Caenorhabditis elegans: one gene and its partners. The protein of the gene in region 3 purifies or fractionates together with the protein of the main gene of each other region. This does not show direct contact. Each region holds a gene or a part of one and is shown on either strand. Other genes may lie near its edges. The genes, in order: fkb-1, ubc-12, cyn-3 and unc-60.

Region 1 (3,293 bases), on a different chromosome or scaffold from region 3:
GTATTCTGTCAGGACTCATTAGGTAGAGAGGAGATTCACAGAAGAAACTAAAACCTACTGAGACCCCAGAATACTGCCGGTATTCTGTCAGGACTCATTAGGTTTAGTGGAGAGTTGGAAATGAAACTAAAACCTAATGAGACCCCAGAATACTGCCGGTATTCTGTCAGGACTCATTAGGTAGAGTGGAGATTCACAGAAGAAACTAAAACCTAATGAGACCCCAGAATACTGCCGGTATTCTGTCAGGACTCATTAGGTAGAGAGGAGACTCACAGAAGAAACTAAAACCTAATGAGACCCCAGAATACTGCCGATATTCTGTCAGGACTCATCAGGTAGAGAGGAGATTCACAGAAGAAACTAAAACCTACTGAGACCCCAGAATACTGCCGGTATTCTGTCAGGACTCATTAGGTAGAGTGGAGAGTTGGAAATGAAACTAAAACCTAATGAGACCCCAGAATACTGCCGGTATTCTGTCAGGACTCATTAGGTAGAGAGGAGATTCACAGAAGAAACTAAAACCTACTGAGACCCCAGAATACTGCCGGTATTCTGTCAGGACTCATTAGTTAGAGTGGAGATTCACAGAAGAAACTAAAACCTAATGAGACCCCAGAATACTGCCGGTATTCTGTCAGGACTCATTAGGTAGAGAGGAGATTCACAGAAGAAACTAAAACCTAATGAGACCCCAGAATACTGCCGGTATTCTGTCAGGACTCATTAGGTAAAGAGGAGACTCACAGAAGAAACTAAAACCTAATGAGACCCCAGAATACTGCCGGTATTCTGCCAGGACTCATTAGGTAGAGAGGAGACTCACAGAAGAAACTAAAACCTAATGAGACCCCAGAATACTGCCGGTATTCTGTCAGGACTCATTAGGTAGAGAGGAGATTCACAGAAGAAACTAAAACCTAATGAGACCCCAGAATACTGCCGGTATTCTGTCAGGACTCATTAGTTAGAGTGGAGATTCACAGATGAAACTAAAACCTAATGAGACCCCAGAATACTGCCGGTATTCTGTCAGGACTCATTAGGTAGAGATGAGACTCACAGAAGAAACTAAAACCTAATGAGACCCCAGAATACTGCCGGTATTCTGTCAGGACTCATTAGGTAGAGAGGAGATTCGCAGAAGAAACTAAAACCTACTGAGACCCCAGAATACTGCCGGTATTCTGTCAGGACTCATTAGGTTTAGTGGAGAGTTGGAAATGAAACTAAAACCTAATGAGACCCCAGAATACTGCCGGTATTCTGTCAGGACTCATTAGGTAGAGTGGAGATTCACAGAAGAAACTAAAACCTAATGAGACCCCAGAATACTGCCGGTATTCTGTCAGGACTCATTAGGTAGAGAGGAGATTCACAGAAGAAACTAAAACCTACTGAGACCCCAGAATACTGCCGGTATTCTGTCAGGACTCATTAGTTAGAGTGGAGATTCACAGAAGAAACTAAAACCTAATGAGACCCCAGAATACTGCCGGTATTCTGTCAGGACTCATTAGGTAGAGAGGAGATTCACAGAAGAAACTAAAATCGTATAGAACCCGCGATGATCACATCTATCCCATGTGCACTAAATTTCCTCGTTTTTACTGGATTTTTGAATGTTTCAGTTGAAAACCAATCTGTTCCGTTTTTGGGAACGGAGTGGATTGATGCCGAGGCTTTGAGGCAGCCTTTGCGAGAGATTTGGCACTCATTTTGTCTGAAATTAATTATTTATAATAGAAAAACTGAATTATTTTGTAAAATTTGTAAAGAAAACGGTAAAAATCTGTTTAAAACTCGGGAAAACTCAAAAACTATGAACTATGAGTTAAAAATCCGACAAAAGTTGCGCCAACAACTTTTGCTGACCCATTACTCGTTTTCTCTGCGTCACAACGCCACGTTTGCTTGACTTTTGTTTGCACACCTTCGATTGCTCTTTTGCACTGATTTCTCTGTCCATTTTTCTATTCATAACGTATTTTTTCAATAATTTTTCGTTGTATTGTGCTTCTAAAAATCAATTGTATTGTTGTAGGATCATGAAAACCGCTGTTATCGTTGGACTTTTGTGCCTATTGGCGATCGCATATGCTGCCGATGAGCAGAAAATCGATAAATTGCAAATTGGAGTCAAGAAGCGTGCCGAGAACTGCGTTCAGAAATCCAGGTAAGCTTACTCTTTTTAATTAAAATAAAAATGTTAAATTTACAGAAAGGGTGATCAATTGCACATGCACTACACCGGAACCCTTCTCGATGGAACTGAATTTGATTCCAGCCGCACTCGCAATGAAGAATTCACTTTCACTCTTGGACAAGGAAATGTTAGTTTTTAAAGAAAAAACCAATATCAATAATTAAAATTGAAATTATAGGTGATCAAGGGATGGGATCAAGGACTTCTTAACATGTGCGTCGGAGAGCGTCGTATTCTCACAATTCCACCACACCTTGGATACGGAGAACGTGGAGCCCCACCAAAGATTCCAGGCAACTCTGTCCTCAAGTTCGACGTTGAGCTCATGAAGATTGACAGAGACGGAGAAGAATTGTAAACGAACTACGGATATTTAGAAAACGTGCCTTTTGTAACTTATTCATGTTCTCAGAGTATAATTTTTTTTTGCAGTTTTTTTTTTTGTCTTTATAAACATGCCCATTCTATATATTTGGACCGTCTGCGGCCATTGATCACAACCGCGTCTCGCTTCTCTTTATCACCTTGTATTGCACTCTGTCAGCGAAAATGATAGGGTGTGCGAGACATTTATCAATTTCCATACACCTTTTTCTCTTCTTACCTAGTAATGCCTTGCTTTCTTAGTTTTTAAGAATGATTATTTTAATCTGAAAATCTGGAATCAACAGTTTCGTAAATATTAGAATTCAAGTATGTGGTTCCTCTGTAAATAAAAAGCACGAATCGAAAAAGGAAATGCATTTTTGAAAATGTCGAACAATAAACAAAAAATTGGAATTCTATTAGTAGAAACCCAATTAAAACTGGCATCCATGAATTATTGCACCAACGATCCGAATGCTTCTTTTCTCTTTTTTTTTGTTCATGCTCCATCCTAACAATAGTTATAAATTGAGGTCGATTCTTGCTCTTCGTTGTCTTCTCTCAACACACGAGTAAATTGAGTATTCCTTGAGAGCCTCCTGTGAGAGTATTTGTGAGCCTTGTATTTCCTTTCTCTCACTGCTTTCTTCTTCAGTTTTGATGTATAAAAGTATGAATAATAAAACTGACATTTCGCACTGAAAATTCAACGTGGTTT
Region 2 (3,597 bases), on a different chromosome or scaffold from region 3:
AGATCGAGGCGAGCTTTGGTGCTGGTGCTTCTTCTGCTTTTCGCTTCGACATTTTCAGCAACAGGTTAGTAGTCGAGTAGGCTCTTGAACGGAGCAGCTGGGGAAGAAGAAAGTTGAATCAGGTCGGCGGATGGAAGGATGACAAATAGAGAAACTTCCCCGAATGTTGAACAGATTAGTTAGAGAATAGTTGAAATTGAATTAAATAATTAAATCGATAGTTTCATTGGATTGTTATTAATAATGAGATCAGTGAAGAGCAAAAAAGTAACAAAAACCCGATATGAAGATCAACTTATTTGTTGGCGAGGTTGACGCGGAGTGGTCTTCCATTGAACTCGGCTCCATTCATCTGCTCGACGGCTCTCTGTGCGGATCCTTCCTCGGCGAACTCGATGAAGGCGAATCCACGTGGACGTCCGGTTTCGCGATCACAGACGATTCTGAAAGAGATATTGCGTTAGAAATCATGAAGCTCGGGCTGGCTGGGAGAGTTACCTGACGTTGTTGATTTGTCCGATGCTGCTGAAGAAGTTTCCAAGCTCCTCCTCGGTGGTCTGGAATGGAGCGTTTCCAACTAAAAAAAAGGAAAATTTTAATTGATTTAAATATTTCGCAACCAAATTTGAATCTAAACACTTAAAATTGCCTTTTCAAATGAAAATATTAGGGAAAACTTCGCGAATTCGATTTTTCCGAAAAATCCCAAAATTTCAGGACAATATCGAGTTTTATTGGCTATTTTAACCAGTTTCCGATTGTTTAATACTTAAAATAAATTATTAAAAAACTAACCGTAAACAGAGAAGATTCCAGACATGACGATTTTAGGCCGTAGCAGAAAATTTATGACGGTTTAATTTTTCCGCTCACCCTGCCTTGGAGAAAACGTGCGGCAGTTGCGTAAAAACCGTGCCAGGGTTGCGTTTTGGCCCCGCCCCTCGAATAGCATCGATTTCGACAGATTTTTTCCATTTCAAGCTGAAAATATGAGGAATTAGTCCAAAATAAGACCGCGAAGAGTGTTGAAACTTGAATTTTCAGTTGTAAGCTCACATTGGGCTGCGCATAGCCCAGGATTCAAAACTTGCTCGAACCGAAGCCGTTCCTTCAAGCTTCTAGCCTCAACGCTTGCCATCAGATTGACCCCAAATGAAGATTCGAAATAAAAAAATAGAGCATATATATTTATGATAACGATTTCATGGGTTTATTATTATTGAGATCATTAAAGATCAAACAAGTAACAAAGTACCGATATGAAAATTAGTTGTTTCTGTTTTGAGCCAAGTTGACGCGTAGAGCTCTTCCGTTGAAATCGACTCCGTTGAATTGGTCGACGGCTCTCTGGGCAGCGGCCTCCTCGGTGAACTCGACGAAGGCGAATCCACGTGGACGTCCGGTCTCGCGGTCGCAAACGATTCTGAAAATAGAGATTCATATTGAGAGTTAACGGGTCGTCGTTCAGGAGGTTTCGGGAAGAGGAGATTTCGGGGAGAGAAGCTTACCTGACGTTGCTGACGTTTCCAGCCTGGCTGAAGTAGTTGCCAAGGTCGTCCTCGGTAGTTTGGAATGGAGCGTTTCCGACTGAAAAATGCATTAAAATTATTAAAAACTCAAATTATCTCAGCCTAATCAAATACAATAAATAGAAAAACGCCTGGAGAAAAATAAAAATTTTAGGCCAGACTTTAAATTCGGCTTTTCTCGATTAAAATCTGCTTTTAAAGCTGAATATTCCAGTTTTCTACTTGAATAATTTACAATTAACAAAACTAACCGTAAACAGAGAATCCAGACATGACGATTTTAGGCCGGAGCGTAAATATGTGTGATTCGAATCGTTTTCGCTTGCCTCCTCCGACTCGTGGGAAACCGTGCGGCACTTGCGGTAAAAGTGTGCCAGCCTTGCGTTCGCGCTCCGCCCCCTTTAGTCATTTCAGCGTTAGCAAACGCTGCGTCTTTTATTCCTCATTCTCTGTCATTTTTCATAGCAATTGTTTCATTTTCTCACGTAATTTGTCGTTTTTTCGCTGAATTACAAGATTTTCATCGATTTTTGACCCTTTTACACTGTAATTTTGCCAAAAAAACGATTATTTTCTCTATGTTTCCGTATGCGCCGCCTATATCGCTGAAAATTATCGTATTTCTTAATTTTTCGCTTTCAGAATGTTCAATCTTCAAAAACGAATCAACGGCAACAACGAGGACGGTCGGTATCTTGAAACCCGCATCGCCGTCCGTGACAAGCTCCTAGCTCAGGGTATGTGGCTGCTTTATAAAAAATTTTGATTTTACAACATTTTCAGAACTCCAACAGCTGGAGACTGCTCTTCGCGATCAGAAGCAAAAGCTGTGGCATCTCGAGGTCCCATCAACATCGTGTCTTCATGAGTTGGAACTCACCGTGACACCTCAAGAAGGAATCTATCGTGGAGGCAAATTCCGATTCAAGATCACCGTCCCGCCAGAGTACAACAACGTGCCGCCCGTTGTTAAGTGCCTGACAAAGGTTTGGCATCCAAATATCAACGAGGACGGATCGATTTGTCTATCGATTTTGCGTCAAAACTCGTTGGATCAATACGGATGGCGTCCAACGCGTAACCTCACCGACGTCGTCCACGGACTCGTCTCACTGTTCAACGATCTTATGGACTTCAACGACGCGCTGAACATTCAAGCCGCCCAGATGTGGAGTCAGAATCGCGAATCGTTCAATCATCGTGTTCGGGAATACATTTCTAGATATTGCTAAGGACCAACGGATCGGATTACAAATGGCCTGTGAATTGACCCCCCCTATGAAATTGATTTTGATTCTAACTTTTCCCCCACCTCTCAGACTTTTTCTAACTGTACTTTTTGAAAGAAATAAAATTTATTCTTGAGAAATTTGAGAACTTAAGAAGAGAAGAGAAAATCGAATAAATTAAACAAGTTAAAGAGATTTGGTGGATAAAATAGAACAGAGTCTGAAGGAATTAAATTAGATTGGCTTGATCTTGAAGTGAAGGCCAATGAGCGAGAAGACGAGGCACTTGAGATCCTGAACGAGATAGTAGAACGAGCGGAGACCATCCGGATCTTTCGAGTTGTTCACATCGGCTAGAGCTCCGATTTTGCCGGTCGTAAACGAGATGTGCTCGTTTTTGTACAGAATTTCCAGCTCCTGGCGTCCAATCTTGTCTGGTTCTGGCCAATTGTCATCGTCCTCCTGCATGATTTCCGAGTCTTCGATGATACGCTTGAGCTCGCTGAGCACCGATTCCGACACTGTCGCCTCTTTGCGGATCATCGTGTCATTCTTGTAGTTGGAGTTGTTCGCGTAGCGAAGCGATCCGTTTGGACGGAATTCGAATTCGAGAAATTCGTGACCGAATTTTCCCTGAAAATTGTTTCGTAAACTAATTTAAATTGGCGAAAATTGTCATTTTTCCAAGATTTTCCAAGACCTACCTTGTGTCCAACGTAGTAACGAACGTAAAAGTCCGCTGCCTTCTCTTCTTCGCCGCTCATTCTGAAAATAAATAGGAATTGAGAAAATCCAAACATCCATTAAATAAAACCGGGTGAAAATTAGAATTTCAAGGT
Region 3 (3,912 bases):
CTGTCACGATCAGCTTTATCACATTCTATATCACATGCGATTTTTCCGTTAGAATCTGAATTTTTCTTGCGATTTCAAAAGTTTATTCAAATAAAAAGACGACCTTTCTCACAAACTGCAGGTTTAAATTCTTCGCCGGTTTTTTGAAGAGAGCAGTTGGCGTTTTCACATTTTAAAATCCGATTTTCTGAGAAATTTTTAATGTCAATTCAAAAAAATTTAATCTTTTAAAAATTACCCCATTGATAAAGAGAGTTTATAGTGTTTAGAAAAATTAAAAGCGACAATAAATAGTAGATGCGATTCATTAAAGATTGAATTAAAATCTGAATGGATGTTGCATGTAGATTCAAGTATTAGATAAAGCTGAAATCCGGTTCTGAAACTCTCCGCTTCATTATTCCTCTCTGCTTGCCTACGCACACTTTTATAGGTACACAACGGCGCACTACTATTCGCGACCGAGTGGTTCAGTGGTAAAGCGCGCCGTCTTCAAACAACAGACGCGGGTTCAACTCCTCAGCGGTGATCGATGACTTGTGCAGTGGCCGAGGCGATCGGATTGTGATGTCGCCTGAAAAGGCGGGACCCAACGTCGCGCCTTTCGCCAGAAGATGGAAATATGCGCAACGTCTGAGCTGATTTCTTTTTTTTTTCTCAATGAGACCTGGGTTTCTTCAAAGGAACAATCGGGGATAACTGAGGTTTATGAGAAAAATATGGATTAGTTGAATACTGAAAATATATAATCAAGAGATGAAGGAGATTTCGGGTGCAATTAATTTATGCCTTGAGTTGTCCACAGTCAGCGATCATGCAGTCCTTGACTGGCTTTCCGGATTGGGATCCGTTGGATTCGACAGCCTTCACGACGTCCAATCCTTCGACGACACGTCCGAAAACGACGTGCTTTCCGTCGAGCCACTCGGTCTTGACGGTGCAGAGGAAGAATTGAGATCCGTTGGTGTTTGGTCCAGCATTAGCCTGAAATGTTGAAAATATTACTTTCGAGACAGACAAAAATTCTGATATTTTTTGAGACTGATACATTCAGCTGCTCTTTCTCATAAATCATTCAATTTCTCCTAACAACGGCTCAGCACTCCATCCTACACACAACGTGCTGTGAGATATGTCTGCGTCTCTCACAGATACGACAATTTCCGGAAAAGCAACATTTAGAAATCTTCAGTTTTCCCTCTTTTCGGAGAACAAACAGTGATATTTTTCCCAAATTGAGCAGAAAAAAACATTTTCTCGAACTTCAAACAGATTCAGCTGACGATTTGCTTACCATGGAGAGGACTCCTGGTCCGGTGTGCTTCTCCTTGAAGTTCTCGTCTGGGAACTTCTCTCCGTAGATGGATTCTCCTCCAGTTCCGTTTCCGCGGGTGAAGTCTCCTCCCTGGATCATGAAGTTCGGGATGATGCGATGAAACTTGGATCCCTTGAAGTGGAGTGGCTTTCCAGACTTTCCGATTCCATTTTCTCCGGTGCAGAGAGCGCGGAAATTACCGGCGGTCTTTGGGACAACGTCATCGTAAAGCTGTAAAAAATTTATTTATTGAAGATGAAAATAGCCAAAATTTCACAAACCTCCATGACGATACGTCCGGAAGCCTTACCACCGATGGTGATGTCGAAAAAGACCTTTGAGCGGCTCATTGTTGAGGCAAGAATAGGGAAATTACTGAAAAATCATAAAAATTACATAATTTAAACGAAAATCGATAAAAAATCTGAATAAAAAACAGTGAATTCGCATGAAAATTCAAAAAATGGGACCGAAATGGAGAGCGGCAGAGAAATTTCGATTTGTGGGCGGGGTCAGAATGTTCGCTCCGTTGATAATTTGTGAGACCGCGAAGTTTGAATAAGGTTTTCTTTCATCAGCAGAGCGTGCTTACATTCTTCTTTTTGGTGGTAGTTTAAATTTGAGTTTTTTAACCAATCAAAAATTAACAGTTCTTCGCGGTATTTTTACCTTCTCCTTAACAAAAAATAATCTGCAGTTTTGAAAACTGAAATCAACAACAGAATTTATCAACAACAAATTCAACAAAGCTTGGAGCTAATCTTCCAAAAGATCAATGAGCTTCTGAAGCAACGCATTGTAGGTTATATGATCGAGAGATTTATAATTTTCGTGATGCTTCAACGCAGTAACATCTTCGCTGGTCTCCAATTGCGAAAGGCATGCATTTTGAAGCCTTGAGAGTCTGTAGACTTCGGCGAACTTCAGCTTGTCGATCAAGTGGGTCTTTTGGTCCAAAATCAAAAACGTTTCAGCCTTTTCCAGAACTCTTGGCACCGCGAATCTATCGCTCAGCTTGAGCAAGTGAGACACGTTGGAACCTGAAAATCCGTTAATAATTCCAAGCCTCAAATAAAAAAAAGAACTTACTATTAATGAGCATGTGAGTGGGGTAGATCACATTGAGCAAATCGATAAACTCAGAGTGGGTCACATCATCGATTTTGATCTCAGCCTGTGTCTTTTCGGCGAAATTCGAATAGAACATTTTTTGGAAGAATTGCGAGCTCGTTGCGAGCACTTGCTTGCCAACATGGACATGTTTTCCTTCAAGCACCAGCACAACATCGGTAAGATGTTCCTTGGGTTGATCGAAAGTCTCGATAATCCTCTCATGAATTCCGGCAATCTTGTTGACAGTAATTTGGACTTCAAGAACGGCATGCTTATCGAGCACAAATCGATTATCGTAGCAGATGGCTTCCTCCCAATTTTTAAAATTGTTGACCACCACAATCTTGTTCAAGTCGTCGAACTTTTGCTGAAACTCCATCGAAAACGCGTCATCATCCTCGTTTGAATTGAGTCTCAGAAGTGAAAAACGAATTGACGCATCGCAGGACCACAAGTTGCTGCGCAGTTCCTCGTTGCATTTCAGGTGAATTCCGAGATGTTTAGCATTGTTCGTAGCGTCGGAAGTGCTTGTGAATGCTCCAAGAATCCTTAAAAGATAATATTTTAAATAATTTAGAACATTTTTTGTTTCATTAAAATTCACTAACCATTCTACGTGTCCAATTTGCACTGGTTTGTGCTCCGTCGCCTTCGCCAAGCCAGAAAAATTTTGAATCTCAAAACGAATTGATCCTTTATTGTCTTTTCCAGACATTTTATCTTGTGATAAATTTAATTTGAACAATGAAGAAGAATTTGAAACAAACAATTTAAGCTGAGCAATGCTCTCACCTACAGTACACTAAATGGCTTCGAGACCAGTCAAAATTTATAAAGTTTATTGGTCTATTTCTAGGACTTTCACATTAACCATTTTTAGCACATCACGATGTATTTTGTGCAGATTTTATTTTGTCCTTGTACGAAAAGATTATTTTTTAGCGGATAAGCAAAGCTAATCTTGACGAACCGCTTCGCAGATACCCGTCACATGCAGAGCTTCATATTTAGCTCAATCGATCTCGAAAGCATTCAACAAAATGAAAAACTGTTGGATTAATTTGTGATCTATTTAGCAATTTAAAATGTTCTCAATGTTTCTCAATGTTAAATCATCTCGATATTTCTCCTTCTTTTCGTGAAGACCGTGGTGATGATCGAACTGATATCAATGACCGGTTTTTCAATGTAATCTTTTATTGCCTACAAAAATTGTTATCAATTTCGGCGCCGTTCTGTTGTTTTGTGTACGATCATTTGAAAACACAGGCGCACGGTGAAAGTGTTGACAAAAGGCGGGAAACACAGCGAAAGTGTCGTCAGATATGGCGCATGTCGTATGATTGGGTGTCGGGTACGCAGACACTTTTGCGGACTTTGTTGTTTACGTCGGAAAATTCTAGAAGCGAACGGCTCATTTCTTCTCTCTTTCGTCGCCTAATTTGTTGATTTTGTCAGAATTTTTATAGTTTCGCTTATTAAAA
Region 4 (7,489 bases), about 14 Mb from region 3:
AAATATTTCGGCTGCTTATTGGGAGACCATTTAAAGGGGAAGTAGAGTTTGTGGCTATTTTAATTAAATCGACTAAAACTGGTCCATTATCCAAAAATGTTTATGGCCGGTCAAAATTTCGAAAAAAAGAGCCAAATTTTGCTAAAATCTGAATTTTCTCAAACTTTTCTTTGTCACAGCCGCTGGATTTTAGTTTTTCGGAAATTATCACCCTTTGATCCTTAATTTGGTAATTTATCTCGCGGAAATTCGTTGATTGAGACAACTTTTAGGCCGATAGGCATACAATTTTTATCATTTTTGGATGCCCATCGGCTCAAAAAGTGTCTCAATCAACGAATTTCCGCGAGATAAATTACCAAAATAAGGATTAAAGGGTGATAATCTCAGAAAAACTAAAATCCAGCGGCTGTGACAAAGAAAAGTGTGCGAAATTTCAGATTTTAGCAATAGTTGGCCATTTTTTCGAATTTTGGCCGGCCATGAAAAATTTTTGGAAATTTTTTGTGAAGTCTCATTATGAAATTCGGTGATTTTGGACCAGTTTTTGTCTATTTAAGCAAAATACTACAAACTCTACTCCCCTTTTAAATTAAATCGTCCGAGTTTTCTTGGACTATTTAATATTTTTGCATACGAAAAACACTGTCTTGAAATACACTGTCAAATTATTATACTGAGCGACTAGAAAAGATTCTAAAAATAATTCTCAAGATGACTAATTCATTTTTTTATTTCTGAAATGAGCGTGTCTTATTGTTTCGCAATTGCTAATGACTTTGACTCCTCCCACGTCGTTGGCGTTTTTGTTCGTTCCTCGATCAATTGGTGGCTCCCTCACAGTCAATTTGCCCTTTCTCTACGCCCACGCAAACCATCTGAACACTTCTATGCTAATAATGCTCATTCCGACTTGAATTCAAGGAAAATGATATGTTTTTTTTCTCACTGAACTTTCACCCGATGTTGAAATAACCCGAAAGTAGAGAATATGTCGGGGGGGGGGGGGGGGGTAGTAGATGGGCGGTGTAGTTGTCTGCGCGTACGCTAAGTGGAGATTATACGCTTCGACTGTCTCGTAGCACCGAGTTCCTTTCGCTAATTACTCTCATCAACTATTGTTTCCACTGTGTGTGTGTCCTCCTCCGGGTATGTCCTTTTCGTTTGCCCCTTGTTCAAAGCCGAAATCGATGTTGTTTTCAATATTTTTAACGTCTGGAAACAATTCAAAAATTGTTCCAAACCCTCTCCGTCATTCTCGTACCGCCATGCGCTGACTCATACACCGTCGTCGTCCTCCTCGTTGTTGTGTACAACACAAAAACGGGTGGTTTTCTAATCTTTCTCCTTCCCAGTTGATACCATAGTGTATATAACGTACTCCTCGATGCTGAATGATGATTCATACGATCAATAGCAGTGCATTCCTACTTTTTTCTAATTTTGTCAGTACTTTCTAGAAACTGAAGCCCGGGAGAAAGTGCAAACGGATTCACCACTAGGTAGTCCGTATCTGTTTTTTTTTGGTATTTCGGGCAGAGCAAGTAAGGTCGGGGGACAATGGTGTGTGTGTTGCACATGGCGAATGTTTGCTCGGTTCTCGCTATTTTCTCTCTTCACTCTCTTCTCTACCAGCTCTTCAGATCGTTCACTCTCTCTCTCCGGGAGGGGACGGAAAAGATGACCATTCGGGCTGGGTGCTGCTGCTGCTGTTGCTGCCCGTTTCATTTTCTCTCCGCTCCCTCTCCTCTACTTGTCACTATCTCGCTCTATCTCTTCGTCTCTTCATTTTCCTCGTGTCCCTCGTCCTCGTCTATCTAAGCGGACGCGCTCGCACAGGCAAGCACTCTGACTGGCGGTTGTGTTGTTGGGGCTGGGGGTTAGGCCGAAGGGACGGCCCCGTCTCTTTTTTTTTGCGTCTTTCTCATCCTGCTTCTGTGCCAATCACAATGGACTTTCTTGGCTCTTGTTCTCTCTCTCTCTCTGTTTCCATCACTTTACCAATTTACCTCACACTTATGACCCTTATGACTCTTATCTGGGTTACACTTTTTCTTTGTGTTGAGCTTCTTCACTATCGTTTTTCCCTTCTCGTGATTCGATTATTGATTGATTAAAATCATTTTTTCTTGCAGGAAACTCAACTTGATTCTATTTCCCCACCACAAACCAACAACAACATCTCAAAATGGTGAGTTTGAGATTTTAATTCGCTTCAATATTTTTAAATTGAAAGAAATTTGGAATGTTATGTTTGGCGTGTTTTTTTTTCATTGAATTTCCAAAATTTCACACTAAAATGGAATGGTTTTCTCTTCTTTTTGCCTAACCTAACCTAACCTATGTGTGCCTGTTTTCTAGAGTTCCGGTGTCATGGTCGACCCAGATGTGCAGACATCTTTCCAAAAGCTCTCCGAGGGACGCAAGGAGTACCGCTACATCATTTTCAAGATCGACGTGAGTTTTTAAAAAATAAAATCTGAATCAGATCAATTTAAAAAAATTTCGTGCCACTTTTTGTTTTTTTTGTTGAAAAATTTGAAAAATCCTCAAATTAATTGTTTTAGATGAACATTATTGATTTCCCTATTAAATTGCAACATTTTCCAGGAGAACAAGGTGATCGTGGAAGCCGCGGTGACTCAGGATCAGCTCGGCATCACTGGAGACGACTATGATGACTCTTCCAAGGCCGCTTTCGACAAATTCGTCGAGGACGTGAAGTCTCGAACCGATAATCTGACCGATTGCCGCTACGCCGTTTTCGACTTCAAGTTCACGTGCAGTCGTGTTGGAGCCGGCACGAGCAAGATGGACAAGATCATCTTCCTCCAGATGTAAGCGCTTGATCCTATTGGTGAATTATTGTACCATCTAATTTTTTTTCCAGCTGCCCAGATGGTGCTTCTATCAAGAAAAAGATGGTGTACGCTTCGTCCGCCGCCGCCATCAAGACTTCTCTCGGAACCGGCAAAATCCTTCAGTTCCAGGTGAGAAATCTCGATAATTTTTACAATTAGAAAAAAAAAATCAAATTATTAAAATTTCAGGTGTCTGACGAGAGCGAGATGAGCCACAAGGAACTCCTCAACAAGTTGGGCGAGAAATACGGAGATCACTAGATACACGGGTCTCTTCCGAAGTCGTCGTCGCCGTCACATCCTCGATTATTCTCGTCTCTGTCTGTCGCATTTTCTCCATTGCTTGATGATTTCTGATCGTTTTCACGTGTGCTCTTTGAATGTGCTAGTGCGTTGTTGTGGTGCTTTTTTCTTACCAACCTCACTACTTGTTCATTTTTTTTGGTGTCCTCAAAGAATCATCCGTTGAAAACATGACTGCGGCGATGTGTTTCGATGATGTTTCTTAAGCGTCTTCTTCACATTTTCACCTCTTAACATTGCTAATTTATCCTCTATTTTTATCTGTTTTTTTCCTGATTGACGATTGTTTTTTTCCTGGGGGCAAGTGATTGTGTGTGCCCACTAATTTAATACAATGTGCCGGGTAACCTTCCGTACTATGAAGAAGTTGAGACATCCCCTCAGATTCTCAGTATCTTTATTGTTTAGTGAAATGCGTGGTAAATCCCTTCTCATTTACGATTATATTCTCTCTCTCTTGTAAAGCTTTCTATATTTATATAGTGTACTTTCCCCCACTGGAACTCTCAATCTCCATCTCCTCACCATTCTTTTTTTTTCAAATCTTCTATTGCGTATTCATTTCCCTTCTTACTTTTTTCCCACCCTGCCCGATCCCCTTGAAGAATCACCCACCAAACCGTTCATGTGCTGTGCTTTTTAAGATTATCACAATGAAATCAAGTTTGGAGTTTCTAACAATTGTTTTAACACGCGTGGAAAATTTTGAAAGGAAACAAAAATTGACATAAAAACCAGAAAAATATTACAAACACCTTTGAGTACAGGCTTCCGGAGTCAAAGTTGATCCATCCTGCAAGAACGCCTACGATCTTCTCCACAACAAGCATCAGCACAGCTACATCATCTTCAAGGTGAGTTATTCTGCGAAAAAAAAAATGCGTACTGCACAACACATTTGACGCGCAAAATATCTCGTAGCGAAAACTACAGTAATTCTTTAAATGAGTACTGTAGCTCTTGTGTCGATTTACGGGCTCAATTATTGCAATTTTCTTTATAAATGGTTTCCGTGAATCGACACTAGCGCTACAGTAGTCATTTAAAGGATTACTGCAGTTTTCGCTACGAGATATTTGATGTATTTTGCGCGTCAAATATGTTGTGCAGTACGCATTTTCAGAGTTTTCTGTTCCCGTAATAATTAAATAATTTTCTAAATTTGATTTTTTAAAAATTTAAAAAATAAATAAATCGAAAAAAAATAAATCAAAAAATAATCAGATTGACAAAAATGACACCGCCATCGTCGTCGAGAAGGTCGGAGAGAAGAATGCTCCGTACGCCGAGTTCGTTGAGGAGATGAAGAAGCTTGTTGAGGACGGAAAGGAGTGCAGGTAAGCCTAAGCCTGAGACTAGGCCTGAGCCTAAACCTGAGCATAAGCCTAAGCCTAAGAATAAGCCTAAGCCTAACACTAAGTCTTAGTCTGAGCCTAAATGTCGCGTGTATTCTACGCGAAAAGTTGTGTTTTTGCGCCAAAATACGGTGCTAGGTCTCGACACGACTAATTTTTACTAGTTAAATGAATGCAGAGAAAAGAAGGTGTGCGTCTTTAAATAGTACTGTAATTTCAAAATTATTGTTTCCATGGAATGTTTTATTATCGAAAAAAATTCACATAAATATTAAGAAACTGTGAAACATTAATGAAAATTTGGCAGCAATGGAATTTTGAAACTACATTACTCTTTAAAGGCACATATGATTTTGAATTTAACAAAAAAGTTTCGTGTCGAGACCAGTTGGTGCAAAAAAACCGCAAAATTTCTTGTCTGGATAATTATCAAACAACAAAACTCGTCGGAAATCTCGATTCAATTCATCCTTTTTTGCAGATATGCTGCCGTCGACGTCGAGGTTACTGTCCAAAGACAGGGAGCCGAGGGAACCAGCACACTCAATAAGGTCATCTTCGTTCAATAGTGAGTTTCAACATTGAAATATTACACATACACGTGGTGCCAGGCTGTCCCATTGCGGTTTGATCTAGAAAAAATGCGCGATTTTTTTCCCAAAGAAAATTTGACGTCAGCACGTTCTTAACCATGAGAAATCAGTTGAGAACTCTGCGTCTCTACTCCGGCTTTTTTTGTAGATCTACGTAGATCAAGCCGGAATGCTCGAAATTGTCCGCATTTTTGCGTTAAAAAAACGGTAACACTATAATTTCGCAGCAACGAATGTTTTAAATTACTGTACTCTTTAAAGGCGCATACCTGTTTGAATTTAACAAAAATTTGTCGTGTCGAGACCAGATAGCGTAAAATTTCGCGTCTGGAAAATCTAGAAAATCGTCCAAACAAAAAACCAAGAAAGTTGATAAAAATGAACGAATTTACTGAAATTCTCGTTGGAAAAGTCGGCCATCAACTAGGAAGCCTCGGCCACCAAAAAGTCGGCCATAAACTAGAAAAATTCGGCCACCAAAAAACCGGCCATCAACTAGGAAACCTCGGCCATCAACTAGAAAACTCGGCCATCAACTAGAAAACCTGGGCCATCAAAAAGTCGGCCATCAACAAGGAAAAGTCGGTCATAAACTAGAGAAACTCGGCCATCAACTAGGAAAACTCGGCCATCAACTAGAAATACTCGACCAGCAACTAGAAAAACTCGGCTATCAACTAGGAAAACTCGGCCACCAAAAAATCGGCCATCAACAAGAAAAAGTGGGCCATCAACTAGAAATCCTCGGCCACCAAAAAGTCGCCCATCAACTAGGAAAACACGGCCATCAACTAGAAAACTCGACCATCAACTAGAAAACCTCGGCCATCAAAAAGTCGGCCATTAACTAGAAAAAGTCGGCCACCAAAAAGTCGGCCACCAACTAAAAAACCTCGGCTATCAACTAGGAAAACTCGGCCACCAAAAAGTCGGCCATCAACTAGAAAAACTCGACCATCAAAATGTCGGCCATCAACTAGAAAACCTCGGTCATCAACTAGAAAACCTCGGCCATCAACTAGGAAACCTCGGCCATCAACTAGAAAAACTCGGCCACCAAAATGTCGGCCATTAACAAGAATCTCTTTAAAAAAATTTCCATGTATTTCCACATTCCACTTCCCAAACTCCTATTTTCAGCTGCCCAGACAACGCCCCAGTCCGCAGACGTATGCTCTACGCCTCCTCGGTCCGTGCTCTCAAGGCGTCCCTCGGACTCGAGTCCCTCTTCCAAGTACAGGCCTCCGAGATGTCGGACCTCGACGAGAAGAGCGTGAAGAGCGACCTGATGTCCAACCAAAGAATCTAAGCCTGTCCAATTGAATCCCAATCACAAATTACAATTTCTTTCTGGTACTACTAGTCTCTCGGACCATCCAAGCCCGTCAAAAATGTGCCTTTAACTTTTTTTTTCTTGTTAAATTATGACTTTTCTTGTCTGTAATTCTGATTTCCCATTTTCTCTGGAATTTTTAAAAAAATATTTTTCTTTTAATAAATAAATCCGTTCCTTCAGAACATGTCAGTTGTTGTTTTCCATGACGTCCAGACGACAAAAAACAATAAAATCAATTACCCATTTTTTCCAGAGCCCCCAAGAGCCCTCAGATGTTATAGAGCACAACACACCCCCCGAGAGCATCTCTTTACTTTTGACCTGATGCCACTCGACTTGTGCTCACCGGCTCTCGGAGCACAAGCAGGAGCACAAGTTATGCTACTTTTCTTCGAATTTTGTTTGTTTGTTTCGAAACTTGAAACGAACAGCACGAAACATTCTTTTCTTTGGATAATTTTTAAAAATCGATTTTTTTTCGAAATCCAACAGAGTTGGCCCACGGGGTTCTGGCCTTCCTCATTGAATTTTTCGCGCTCCATTGACAATCGCCAGCCAAACAACGCCTGGGGAAAGTCGTGTACTCCACACGGACAAATGCATTTAGAAGTAAAATTTCTCACGACGCGACACGCAACGCGCCGTAAATCTACCCCAGATATGGCCGAGCCAAAATGGCCTAGTTCGGCAAATTCTTCCATTTCAATTTATTAGGGAAGCCAGAAATCCGTGAGTTGGCTTAGTTTTGTTCAAAAATCAGTTTTCGTAGTGTTCTGAAAACGGAAAAAAACATCGCGTTCCATTTGTTTCCCGTTGTTTTTAGATTCGTTTTTTTTCGCAAAAAATAATGGGAATCCTTTTCAAATAAATGTTCTCCAGATGCGGTTTTTCTGCATCATTTTTTCTAAGAAGAACACATAAATCTGATGTTTTTTCTGAGTAGATTTCAAGGTTTTTTTTTGCCATTTTGTGGGTTTACTTTTTTCTCTTGTCATCCTCCAGCCAAAGCCTAAGCCTGAGCCTAAGCCTAAGCCTAATTCT

Evidence for each region.
Region 1: the proteins of cyn-3 (region 3) and fkb-1 fractionate together in Caenorhabditis elegans (co-fractionation; one large-scale study listed by BioGRID). This does not show direct contact.
Region 2: the proteins of cyn-3 (region 3) and ubc-12 fractionate together in Caenorhabditis elegans (co-fractionation; one large-scale study listed by BioGRID). This does not show direct contact.
Region 4: the proteins of cyn-3 (region 3) and unc-60 fractionate together in Caenorhabditis elegans (co-fractionation; one large-scale study listed by BioGRID). This does not show direct contact.

The regions. Positions count from the first base shown.
Region 1 is NC_003282.8:11,034,535-11,037,827, forward strand, and holds fkb-1 (peptidylprolyl isomerase), read left to right. Parts: upstream 1-2,047; 5' UTR 2,048-2,051; coding exon 2,052-2,179; intron 2,180-2,224; coding exon 2,225-2,336; intron 2,337-2,387; coding exon 2,388-2,567; 3' UTR 2,568-2,640; downstream 2,641-3,293.
Region 2 is NC_003279.8:11,909,155-11,912,751, forward strand, and holds ubc-12 (NEDD8-conjugating enzyme ubc-12), read left to right. Parts: upstream 1-2,165; 5' UTR 2,166-2,172; coding exon 2,173-2,266; intron 2,267-2,312; coding exon 2,313-2,761; 3' UTR 2,762-2,899; downstream 2,900-3,597. Other genes in the region: exo-3 (exodeoxyribonuclease III), read right to left, coding at 1-52; rbm-3.1 (RRM domain-containing protein), read right to left, coding at 296-443, 499-577, 796-820; rbm-3.2 (RRM domain-containing protein), read right to left, coding at 1,267-1,423, 1,509-1,587, 1,781-1,802; mag-1 (Protein mago nashi homolog), read right to left, coding at 2,993-3,391, 3,463-3,522. UniProt on the Caenorhabditis elegans protein: Accepts the ubiquitin-like protein NEDD8 from the uba-3-ula-1 E1 complex and catalyzes its covalent attachment to other proteins. Plays a role in male tail tip morphogenesis.
Region 3 is NC_003283.11:15,187,705-15,191,616, reverse strand, and holds cyn-3 (Peptidyl-prolyl cis-trans isomerase 3), read right to left. Parts: upstream 1,691-3,912; 5' UTR 1,666-1,690; coding exon 1,597-1,665; intron 1,547-1,596; coding exon 1,295-1,546; intron 985-1,294; coding exon 784-984; 3' UTR 691-783; downstream 1-690. Other genes in the region: Y75B12B.11 (DUF7808 domain-containing protein), read right to left, coding at 1-55, 104-187, 239-308; bath-36 (BTB and MATH domain-containing protein 36), read right to left, coding at 2,072-2,355, 2,405-2,976, 3,037-3,143. UniProt on the Caenorhabditis elegans protein: Catalyzes the cis-trans isomerization of proline imidic peptide bonds in oligopeptides. Plays a role in protein folding, transport and assembly.
Region 4 is NC_003283.11:1,472,951-1,480,439, forward strand, and holds unc-60 (Actin-depolymerizing factor 2), read left to right. Parts: upstream 1-2,135; 5' UTR 2,136-2,188; coding exon 2,189-2,191; intron 2,192-2,361; coding exon of another isoform or gene 2,362-2,457; intron 2,458-2,610; coding exon of another isoform or gene 2,611-2,837; intron 2,838-2,890; coding exon of another isoform or gene 2,891-2,990; intron 2,991-3,050; coding exon of another isoform or gene 3,051-3,122; exon of another isoform or gene 3,123-3,834; intron 3,835-3,931; coding exon 3,932-4,018; intron 4,019-4,388; coding exon 4,389-4,501; intron 4,502-5,000; coding exon 5,001-5,087; intron 5,088-6,252; coding exon 6,253-6,421; 3' UTR 6,422-6,626; downstream 6,627-7,489. Other genes in the region: F53E2.2 (Actin-depolymerizing factor 1, isoforms a/b), read left to right, coding at 2,189-2,191, 2,362-2,457, 2,611-2,837, 2,891-2,990, 3,051-3,122. UniProt on the Caenorhabditis elegans protein: Depolymerizes growing actin filaments in muscle cells; required for the assembly of actin filaments into the functional contractile myofilament lattice of muscle.